Linked DNA regions of Caenorhabditis elegans. The protein of the gene in region 1 purifies or fractionates together with the protein of each later gene. This does not show direct contact. Each region holds a gene or a part of one and is shown on either strand. Other genes may lie near its edges.

What was found. Proteins that work in one complex are often made in the same cells at the same time.
Region 2: the proteins of str-57 (region 1) and Y48G1BR.1 fractionate together in Caenorhabditis elegans (co-fractionation; one large-scale study listed by BioGRID). This does not show direct contact.

Annotation. Positions count from the first base shown.
Region 1 is NC_003283.11:15,868,742-15,872,921, reverse strand, and holds str-57 (Seven TM Receptor), read right to left. Parts: upstream 2,267-4,180; 5' UTR 1,753-2,266; coding exon 1,265-1,752; intron 1,168-1,264; coding exon 719-1,167; intron 675-718; coding exon 571-674; 3' UTR 524-570; downstream 1-523. Other genes in the region: str-56 (Seven TM Receptor), read right to left, coding at 1-349; fbxa-197 (F-box domain-containing protein), read right to left, coding at 3,983-4,180.
Region 2 is NC_003279.8:253,765-260,868, forward strand, and holds Y48G1BR.1 (SEA domain-containing protein), read right to left. Parts: upstream 5,394-7,104; 5' UTR 5,392-5,393; coding exon 5,343-5,391; intron 4,920-5,342; coding exon 4,784-4,919; intron 4,595-4,783; coding exon 4,257-4,594; intron 3,898-4,256; coding exon 3,654-3,897; intron 2,880-3,653; coding exon 2,552-2,879; intron 2,197-2,551; coding exon 2,054-2,196; intron 1,683-2,053; coding exon 1,606-1,682; intron 1,562-1,605; coding exon 1,431-1,561; intron 1,316-1,430; coding exon 1,212-1,315; intron 1,039-1,211; coding exon 945-1,038; 3' UTR 503-944; downstream 1-502. Other genes in the region: snpc-3.2 (snRNA-activating protein complex subunit 3), read left to right, coding at 1-39, 182-365.

The sequences.
Region 1 (4,180 bases):
AGAGACATATGTAGCGATATAAAAATTGAATTCCTATGAATGAGATTATCAGGAGATAAAAAGTCATCCAAACCGAAATAGCAATCTCTAGAAAGCTCTTCGAAGAAATCCAATCATTAATACTAAACAAAATTAATGCTCTGTTGTAATTGTGAGCAAAGGGTCTTGCGATAAATTCTGAAAGTGAGAATAAAAATCCCAGTGCTGAAAACATCACGACCATTCTTCTATAGGCTCCTTGGATCTGTTTGCTATGGAATAAACTGATGTAGATTAAAGTGAAATTCGATATTGAACAGATTAGCAAACTTGTGCTTGTGAAAAAAATTGTGTGCTGGTGGTTGAACATTTTCTACTATGTATGAAAAAAAAGAGCAACAAATATGGTATTGTTGTGGCTGAAGTCGTGAAGATGTTTTTTATGACGTCTTATTTTTGCAATGCGTGTCTTAATTGGCATCTCATTATGATTCAGCGCCACCAAAAAAACCAAAGGCTGTGAAAACAATGAACATCGTTAGAATTGCAATTAAAAATTTATTAATTTTTCATCCTATGTATAATATTTTATTACGTCTCTGAAACAGTTGCAGTATTTATAAATTGAACTGCGCGAATTGAAATCCTGCTGCCAAACTCTCGAGGATACTTGTTAGTCTTGCAGAATAATTTACCTAAATTATTTTATCATAGAATTTTGCCGTTGCTATTTTCTCACTTCTAACATATTTTCGGTACTCGGAAACAATTAATATGAATGCGATACTATCAAATATTGGATAGAGTCCAATAAAAGAATATAGCCATCCAGTTTGCCAGTTAATCTCCATGTCAATATAAGGTGATAATAGAGTTGCCAGAAAGAACGGAGCAGATGGCAAAACCAGGAATAAGGTGGGACCAACGGTTTGAGTAACGAGAGCTTTGAATATTTGCGATTGGAATTTCACCTGGCACGCAGAGAATTGCCTCAGCTTCTCCTTCATTCTCAGGTGCAATTTGACCCCGAAAAATATTACAATAAAATATTGAATAATCATAATAGTTCCTGCTGCTATGAAAAGGGATAGAGTTTTCCATTGTAGCGTATTGGTATCACTATAAGGAATTAAGATGTATCGGGCAACTGTAGAAATTTCAAGATCATAGTTTTCTCGAATAATGTTTCTGAAAAGTTAATCTATTAATATTTAGTTAGTGAGCCATCGGTAAAAAAGGAAGCCTACGTAGGCCTAAAGGCGTTTTCAAACCACAACATACCTACCTCAGGTACTCATCGGAATCATCATTTGGTCTCAGAAGTTGATAAAATGCGACACAGTAGCATATCGCAGGAATCATTAAATAAGAAATCCAAAGTACTTTGCCAGATCCGTCGAAATACCTTATTTTTGTAGAATGGAAGAGACATAGGTACCGATATACAAATTGAATTCCTATGAATGAAATTATCAGAAGATAAAATGTCATCCAAATGGGAATCGCAATTTCTAGAAAGTTGTTTGAAGGAATCCAATCATTAATACTAAATAAAATTAATGCTCTGTTATAATTGTGAGAAAAAGGCCTTGCGATAAATTCTGAAACGGAGAACAAGAATCCCAACGTTGAAAACATCACGACCATTATTTTATAGGTTCCTTGAATCTGTTTGCTATGGAATAAACTGATGTAGATCAGAATGAAATTTGCAATAAAACAGATTAACAAACTAGTGCTTGTGACGAAAATTGTATGCTTGTGGTTAAGCATTATCTTCTATGAGAAAAGAAAACAAAATGATTATTGTGTGTTTTGTGAGTGTTCATTAGAAATATTTTTCTTGGCGAGAACACTAGCCGAAAAAACATGTGTCTTCTTTTTATGACGCCTGAATTTTTGGCGTCTCGTAATGACTAAGGATATGCAAATTAATAACATATTTAGAATCAAGACACAAAGAACATTTTTTAGATTTTGATTACAATTTTGTTTAAATTGGAAGAAATAGTTGCGAAATTCGATAAACTATTTTGCTCGTCAACTTAAATGTTCAGTCCGCAAACTGAAGAATTCGAAAACTACCGTACACCGATATAAAATTTTCGAAAATGTTGGCTTGCTTTTTTTGTTTGAAATAACAAAATAAAGCAACAAAACGTTGAAATTTTAATTCAGAAGCGTTCAAATTCGAAGAATTAATGAATTATTTAGCTTGAGCTGAAACAAAAAATCAAATCCCCTCATTCATTTCTAAGAAAAAAACATAATCCTGTAATGCACTTTTTATTAAATTAAACTAAACATTAAAAGTTGAAACCCGGTTTCAAGTCAGATTTACTAATGAATAACATATTTTCGCGAATGGTGACGTGAAATACTCTCTTGTCATGTGTTGTATAGCTAGTTTCGCGGTCTTCATATTCAGAATCTTCATCATATGCATCGTCGAACAAAAATGTTCCGTCCTCTCTATCGTGATCCATATACTTCGCAGCGATTCGAGCTTCCTTGAAATCGGGAGAATTTTCAATCATCTGAAAACGAAAAAGTTTACAAAATTCTAACAATTATTTTCAAAATCTTACTTACATCTCGTAATTTAATTGCATCTCCTGAACCGAATCTCAATAATTTGACGTCAAAACTATCGAAATTCAAAAAGTGATCAATCTCCATGAAACTCCTTAGCCATCTTCCATTGATTCATTCTGACGAGCTGCTTGTATCCAAAATGTGTAGGTTGAAATCCCGCTTCGAAAATTATTTTTTGCAGATTCTTAGCCGGGAAGATTGAAAGCAGAGAAGCGAATTCCGGAAACGATAGATTCGTCGATTTTATAGTTTTTGTCATCAAGCTCTTTGTGGAGTTTAGAATTTTCGTGATATCCTTGATGCGATTCTCGCGGAATCCATTGCCTTCTTCTTCTGATTCAAAAACTGTGAAACTAAAAGTTTTCAATTGAACCGTTCGATTTTCCATCAATAACTTGAGATCATTGTTGCACAACTCTACATAATTCTCTCCTCCGACAAATTTTTCCTTTCTTTCGTCTTCTCCATTTTGATAAGTAATCCTACAACTGTAACTATCCCGTGCGTAAGTGATTTTATGACGCCAATTTGAGACAACTTCACAACATTCTTCATCTTCCTGATACATCACAGAAAGATCTTCAATTCTAACATCGCTCTTCTGTGCAATTTTTCGAAATTTTCGCGATACCTTCATCAGGGCCAATCTGAAATTTTTTAGCTTGATATTCTAGTTTTATATAAATAAAAATTCCTACGTGTCGATGGAATCCACGTAGCCTACAATTTTTTGAATCACATTGATGGGCATGTCCGACATGGGAGAGGGAGCTGGGTCGAAGCTGAAATTCTTATTCATTATTTTTCAGTTATAATCATTTTTTTGAATAAAAATAATACCTTCTATCATAATGCAAATCGTGATTTCCGTGGTAAAATCTCCAATACCAAAAATCGAATTCATAAAATGTCATGACGTCTTTCCCCACTTTTCTACAGAAATTTTTGTACGATTCTTGAATCGGCTTCTTGTCGAGAGCTTCGTAGAGAATACATGCTCGAATAATGAGCTGATTTTCGCGTAGAGAGGTGGACATTTCAATTTATCGCCGGGAAACTGCTAAATCAAGATTTTGAATAAAAATAACTACATGGTTTGGAGGAAAAACGAAATTTAGCTCCTATTGACTTAATTTTAAGAAATTGGAACTGAATTTTAACGGAACATCAAAGTAAAAAACGTTTTATAAAAATTTAAAAAATCTGTAAGAAACTTTGCTCGTCAAATTAAAGGCCCGGTCCGCAAACACTTCACGTCCTTTCCAGACTACCGTACCCGCATTTTTTCGTTTAGAGAACAATCTTTTCACAAATATTATTGAATAAAATTCGAAAACAACAACAATTATAACTAGGAAAAACAACAAAAATTATAACTAGAAAAACAACAAAAATTAAATTAAACGAACTAGAAATCGGTAAAGTCATACTTTGGGTTCCAGTCGGATTTTTTAATATAAAGACTAGAGCGATAAAATCTGATATAGAAGAGTCGTTCATCAGATGTCGTATAACGAATATTGTATACTCCAAAAACTGGATCATCATCCGAGTCACTGTCACTATCGTCGGGCAAAAAGATTGAATTCTCTCTGATAGCGTCCAT
Region 2 (7,104 bases), on another chromosome or scaffold:
AAGAATTGCATGTGACACGTGCAAGGAGGCGTCGGCGCAGTGAGTAGTAGCATTTAGAAATTCGGAATTTTTTGTGAAACCCCCGAAAAATATAGTTTTTATCGGAGTTCGAATTTTCGAAAAAAAAATCCAAAGAGAATCGATTAAGGCAAAAATCATCAATTGAATCCAATTTTTTCAGCTGGATGATCGTCGACCACGACAATCTGCTTCCCAACTCGCCAGGCTATCTGTGCTCTTCGTGCTACAAGGAGTTCTGTTTCGACGTGAACGGCAAAAAAGTGTGCCAGTTTAAGGCCGTACCGTATTGCGATCGAAAGGACATTGGCGACGGACGCCAGTTCTTCACCGAGCTCGATCTTTAGAGAACGAGATTTAAAAGTCTGTATCATTTTTTGTTGTTTTTTTTTAAATGTTTTTCGATTTGATTGTTTAATTACCGATTTTTGGCCTGTAACTATATTTGTTGAAATTTCAAATTTCTTTTTTTTTAAATAAAATTTTTGTTTGCAAAAAAATTTATCCAATAAATAAACGGAATATATCGATGATATGGCAAGTAGGGGGAAACGGACGGGAAAATGATTATTTACAGAAAGGGCGCGCACCAGAGGTTTCTCGGGGGAGCCCCGAGGCGGGTGGCGGAGCTTGGCTCAAAATCTGTCGGAAAAATGGGTTAAATGAGAGAAGAGGTAACCTAGAAAATGAGATGAGAAATTCGGAAGAATTTTGAACAATTTGAAAAATCGATAATGTTGAATTTTAAAATTAAATTTTATTGATTTTTTGAAAATCGATTATATTGTTGATTATTGATTAAAAATCACTAGAATCAATAAATCTGATTTGGAAAAATCAAAAAAATCGATTTTTTATAATCATAAAAATCAATTTTTAAAATCCAAAAAAATCGATATTTAAGAAATTGAAAAAAAATCGATAAATCAATACATAGGTGAGCTCGTCTCGTCGATTTGTGTTTTTGTGATTGGTCCCGGCTGCTTTTGAGATGGTCTAGGCGTTGTTCCGTATGACATTCTGGAAATTTTTTTGTGAGGCAATGACACGCCCACAAAATGGACGGTGGCAGAAATTTAATAATTTTAAATAATTTTCTGGATAAAAAAATCGATTTTTCCACTTTTTCGAGTGAATCGAAAATTTAAAAAAAACATTCAAAATTGTTCAGGGTCTCGCCACGAAAAACTCACAAATGCACGTTATGCGGAGCGTCGTCGGATTCCGGTGTGTTGCTACGGATCGTGTCGTCCATGCTCAGCTTCATCGTCGATTGACGTCGCCGTTTTGTGGTGATCTGAGCGAGATTTATTGATTTTTAAAGACGCATGGCCTAGAAAACACAACACTTCGGCCACGGACTTTGGCGGCCGAGTTTTCTAGGCCATGCTGCGGCATTTAAAGGCACATACCATGATAATGAAGATCGCCAATCCGAAAATGATGACCAATGCGAAAGTGATGATTACAATCATCAGCGATGATAAGGAATATGATGAAGTTTGCGTGGAAATAGAATCGATGTACGCTTGTGACGTCATTCCTGGAAATTATTGATTTTTTTGGAAAAAATCAATAATTACTTACCGTCAACAGTAACACTCAACGAATCAATCTTGTAATCCGAAATCATAGAGTTATTGCGTGAAAATGCGGCTTCGAACCTGAAATGTTAAAAAAATCAATTATCGATTTTTTTGAAAGTTTTTGAAAGTTTTTGAAAAATTGATACAATTAACTTGATATTCCCCCGGAAAACCTATAAATCAATGAAAAAGTTAATATCTAAATTTTTTCCAAAAATTGAACTAAAGTCGATTATCGATTATCGATTTTACTAATCATTTTTCAAAAATCTATCATATAGACGATTCCTACGGAAACCCCGAACAAATCAAAAATCGATAAAATTGACTATCGATATTTTTTTCTAAATTTTACTTTTTTCGATAAAAGTCGATAGCGTTGATAATCGATTTTTTAGAGTTTTCCTCAAAAAATGGTAATAAAATATTTCTAATCGGTAAGAACTCACAAATTAACAGCCATTTGAGCATCACCAAGTGATTTTTTGGTGAGCACGTCGGCTCCGACAACCACTGATCCTTTGGTCAGTGACTTGATTTCAACATTCACAAAATTGTCGTCTCCCGAAATGGAATTGATGAATTCTCCGATCTGGAAAAAAATCAATAATTGTTTAAAATTGATTTTTTTCAGATCATTTTTAAAATAACTAGTCTAAATCTATATTGAAGTCTAACTCAAAATTTTCCACAAAGGCTTACTATTAGGCTTAGGCTTAGGCTTAGGCTTAAGCTCAGGCTTAGGCTTAGGCCACGCGAGATGAAAACAAAAGAGAAAATTTAGTGAAAACAAGAAAAATTTCTTTTAAAAAAAAGAAAAAAAAAAAAAAAAAAGAGCAACAGCCATGCAATTCTTAAATATAACAGGTTCAACTACTATCTTCAAAAATCAGTTTAATATCGATTTTTCCCAAATGTCAATAATCCATTATCCATTTTTGACTCACCGCTGGCACCAAATCTTTCGCTAATCTCTTCGCAGGGCCACTCTGAATATCGTTGAATTCCTCTACAAATTCCAGTGAAATAATACGAAAAACTATTGGTGTTCGAATGGATTTAGCCGGAAGGAATACTTTCGATGAGTTTTGAAGTGCCACCGGCACAGTTGAAATATCTTCAAAAGTCGTGGATTCCTCTGATGAGGTGGAGGTGGTCTCTTCGGAGGAGGTAGTGACGTCAGTGGAGAGGGTTGATGGCTCGGTTTCGGCCATGGTTGTGTCCATTGTGGTTTCCATAGTTTTTGTAGTTTCCATTGTTGAAGAGGATTTCATTCTGAAAATTTTGAAGTTTTGAATTTTTTCCTGCAATATATGAACACTTCCGAACCAGCAAAACTCACTAGGTAGTGTTTTAACTATACGGTGCGATCGAGTAAAAGTGTCATGCGATAGCTGGCATCTTAGGCTTTCAGAATCTGTAATTTGTTCCGGCGGAAGACCTCTGTGAGTCTGGAAATTTTCATCTGAAAATTTAGTACTGAAATCTGCATTTCCTATGGTTAACAGTGGATTTTTGTCTCTGGCGCCAACAGAAGTCTCACCACAATGGTGGAAGGGCGAAAACATCGCTTCGAAGCTGTTAACCATAGGAAATGCACTGATTTCAGTACTAAATTTTCAGATGAAAATTTCCAGACTCACAGAGGTCTTCCGCCGGAACAAATTACAGATTCTGAAAGCCTAAGATGCCAGCTATCGCATGACACGTTTACTTTTACTCGATCGCACCGTATAGTTAAAACACTCCCTAGTCAGATATGTGCTCTACACTTTTAAATTTTGCAATCAAAATACTTGAATATAAAATTAAGAGATTTTTGAATTTACTAGGCCACCTCGAAAATTTCTAGGCCACGGCAGGTTGGTAGGGTGAAGCTGCAGACCCCATAAAGCTGTGAGAACGGTTTTTTTGCAAATTTTTTAAAACAAACATTTGTGAAGAATCTGAATATTATCAGAACAAAAAATAATTTCGACAAAAAATAATAAATTTTTTTATCAATATTCAAAATTTTTAACTTCCGAAAAAACTCAAAAAAAAACTCACCCAGTCGTAGTGCTCTCGACCATCTGCTTCGTAGTTTTCGGGATATTCGACAAAATCTTTGGCTCTTCCTCAGACATTTTCAGAATTGGGAATGCGGGGCTCTGATCTGTGCTCAATGAGCTATCAATAACACTTCCATCCTGCTCAAAAAGTCCTTCCAGTGCACTTTGATCAAATGGTGTTTCTCCGTCATCTCCAGCTTCTGATGGGTCACTTACTGCGACGGTGGATTGGGTTGTGGTCACTGTAAAATTGGAAATTTGGAAGAGAAAAACCTCGGCCATTGGTGACGTCATACTTTTCGCCACTTCTTCGACCAGCTATAATGCCACGCTTTTAGCAAGTTTTATTTTTGGTAAACCAAAGAGCAACCAATTTTAAAACTGTGTCTCCAGGTTTACCGCCAACTTAAGGGCGTGTCCGTACAGGGTTTGCCCGTTTTATGGGCGTCGCTTAATAAATCATTTTTCAAGTTTTCAGTTTCGTGGAAAATTAGCATCCGGGAAATTGAGTCATAAGTATGACGTCAGCAGCCGCGCGGCTTCCCATGACGTCACTCCATGCGCTCCCCCGACGTCCCTCTAAGACGTCACCACCTCTCACCTGGTTTAGTGGGTCGTGTCATCTCCTTCTCTTTCAAAACTCGTCTATCAGCGACCTCGTCAACCTCAATCGGAAGGGAGCTGAACGTAATCACCTCCAAGGGAGTGGTTGGCATCATTTCAGTCGTATTTTCAGCGGCGAGAGTTGTTTTCTCAGTGGATTCATCCTGATCCTCCATACTATCATCTTCGATTGTTGCCTGGGAGAAGTTGAACATACCGCCGTCAAGCGGAGTTATTGGGGAGAAGACGGACGTTTTCTGGATTGGGTTCACTTCTAGGGAGGTGTCGTTCGGCGAGAGTTCGATCATTTCTGTACTTGTCTCGAAGGTATCTGATCTGAAAGTTATGACATTTTTTTGGTGGTGGCCTGGGAGAAAACTAGGCCTCCTGGCCTAGAAATCTCAAACCTCGGCCTCCAGCTCTCACTAGCTGACCTAGGTTTACTAAACATCGGCAAGACCTCTTTTCGACTACTCCCTTACAAATTTTTAACAGTTTTTCATCACACAATTTTCCGATTCTTACCCCTCATTCATCATTTCTTCTTTCGGAACAGCCATCATCGGCATATCATCATTATCAGGCATTACGGGTGTCGTTGTGTCTTTTGCCAGCGGTTTGTCGAACACATCTTCAGAATTTTCGTCTTGCGCGAAGGAAACTGAAAAAGTTAAATTACATTTTTTCTAGGCCACCAGGTTTTGCATTTTGGCCTAGAAAATGAAATGAGAAGCTAGACCATGTGGGTTTATTGCGAGGAAAAGCTATCCCACGAAAACTTTTATAAGCGTCTAGAAAAGTAGAAACCTCGGCCACCAAGTTTTGCACTGTGACCTAAACAATTTTGGTAAAATAGGCCAGCAAAATTTCCATGATGGCCTCAGGAAAACTAGGCCATTAAGGTTTCTTCCGTTACCTAGAAATTTTGTAAACCTAGGTCACCAGGGTTTCTAGGCCACACAAGAAAAGCTAAAAACCAACATTTCAGATCGGTCTGGAAAAGTGCAAAATTAAGCCACCAGGATTTGCATGGTGGTAAAAAATTGGTAAACGTGAACTAGAAGTTTATCGGTCATCAACTTACGTGTCGTTGAAAATGCAATGAATAGAATAAAACCAAATGGTATGCGCATCGCTGAAAAATTGCAAAAATTAATTTATGTTTTGGAAAATCAGAAATCGGAGTGTTCATTTTTTATGGGACAAGATAAAAAGAGATGGAGAAAATTTATATGATATATCAGGTCAAAATGACCTTCGGAAATTGGGAATGAAAAATCAAAATTAATTCGCGTGGAACTGGTTAAGATGATCGAAGATTGAAAAATTTGACAGAAATTGCAACAATACTAATGCAAAAAGTTGGTAAAATATTTTTTTCAGTTTTCAGAAAAATCGATAGCAAAAGTCTTTTTTTTTAAATAAAAATTTCTGAAATATTTTCGCTGCGAGACCTAAGGTGACAAATTGGATTAAAAATTTTATGTGCCCATTAAGAGTTTTTCTGGAAACTGAAGAGAAAGTCGAAAAATTAATATACCCTACTTAAATTTAAAGGCGCACGGATGAATTTCCAGAAAACTAAAAAAAAACATCACAAAATTTGATACTCCAAGTTTAAAGATGCATGGGTAATCTTTGAATGAGAATTTTGTTTTAAATTTTTGAACTGCCATTTCAGATATTATGAGAACACAAAATTCTAATAATGCGTATTGCGCAACATATTTTGCGCTCAAAATATCTCGTAGCGAAAACTACAGTAATTCTTTAAATAACTACTGTAACGCTTGTGTCGATTTACGCGCATCAAAATGAATTAAGATCATACATTTACCGACAAAATATTAAAATTAGGCAAAAAATAATACGAATAATGCATTTCGTAAATCGAGCACGTAAATCGACACAAGCGCTACAGTAGTCATCAAGAAAAATTACTGTACTTCTCGTTACGAGATATTTTGCGCATAAAATATGCTGCGCATTACGCATTCTCAGAATTTTGTGCGCCCGTAATAACCATTTGTTAAATGCTTAAAAAATTCAGATTTTATTGAAAAAAATTTTTGAGCAAAATTTTTCGAAAAATAAATTTCGGCAATAAAATATTATTTTTCCATCGAAAAAGTATCGTATGGTGTGCTTGACATAATCTTGGTAAAAAGTGGCATATTTTGAAAACAAAAGGGGTTACCCCCTTCCTTCAGCCCGCCCGCCCGGGAAGCCTGGGCATGCGCGCAAGTGATTGTTTTGTCTGTTGTTGCTTATGTATATGCTTATTATTTACACATTTGTGTGTGTGTGAGTGACTACACTGCACACCTCTTGAAACGGATTATCCGGCCGTGGTCGAGGAGGGCCGCCGAATTATGCACATTCCTATGCTATGTATTGTGAATACTTCATTTCAATAACTTTATATATATACAGTTAGCACATACGATTTTTGAAAATTGGGGTTGTGGAAGAGTTTTCACACAAGTGGCCTAAAGTTTTTGAGTTTACTTTAATACTTCTAAATCACGTGGTGTCAGGCGGTCTCAATACAATTTGATCTACAAAAAATGCCGGCATTTTTTCCCAGAAAAATTGTGACGTCCGCACGCTCTCAACCATAAAAAATCAGATGAGATCTGCGTCTCAACTCCCGCATTTTTTGAAGATCAAAGCGAAATGGGACTTTCTGACTCCACGTGCTAAATGAAATGTACGTTAAAAAATTATCTCTGGAAATTTGGAATTGCTCGGTGGAGCGCGTTTGCCGCTTAGTAGCTGAACCGTGATAGCTGCGCCGTGAAGAGAAGGGAAAAGTAAGGAAGTTATCAAAACCAACGACGCACTAA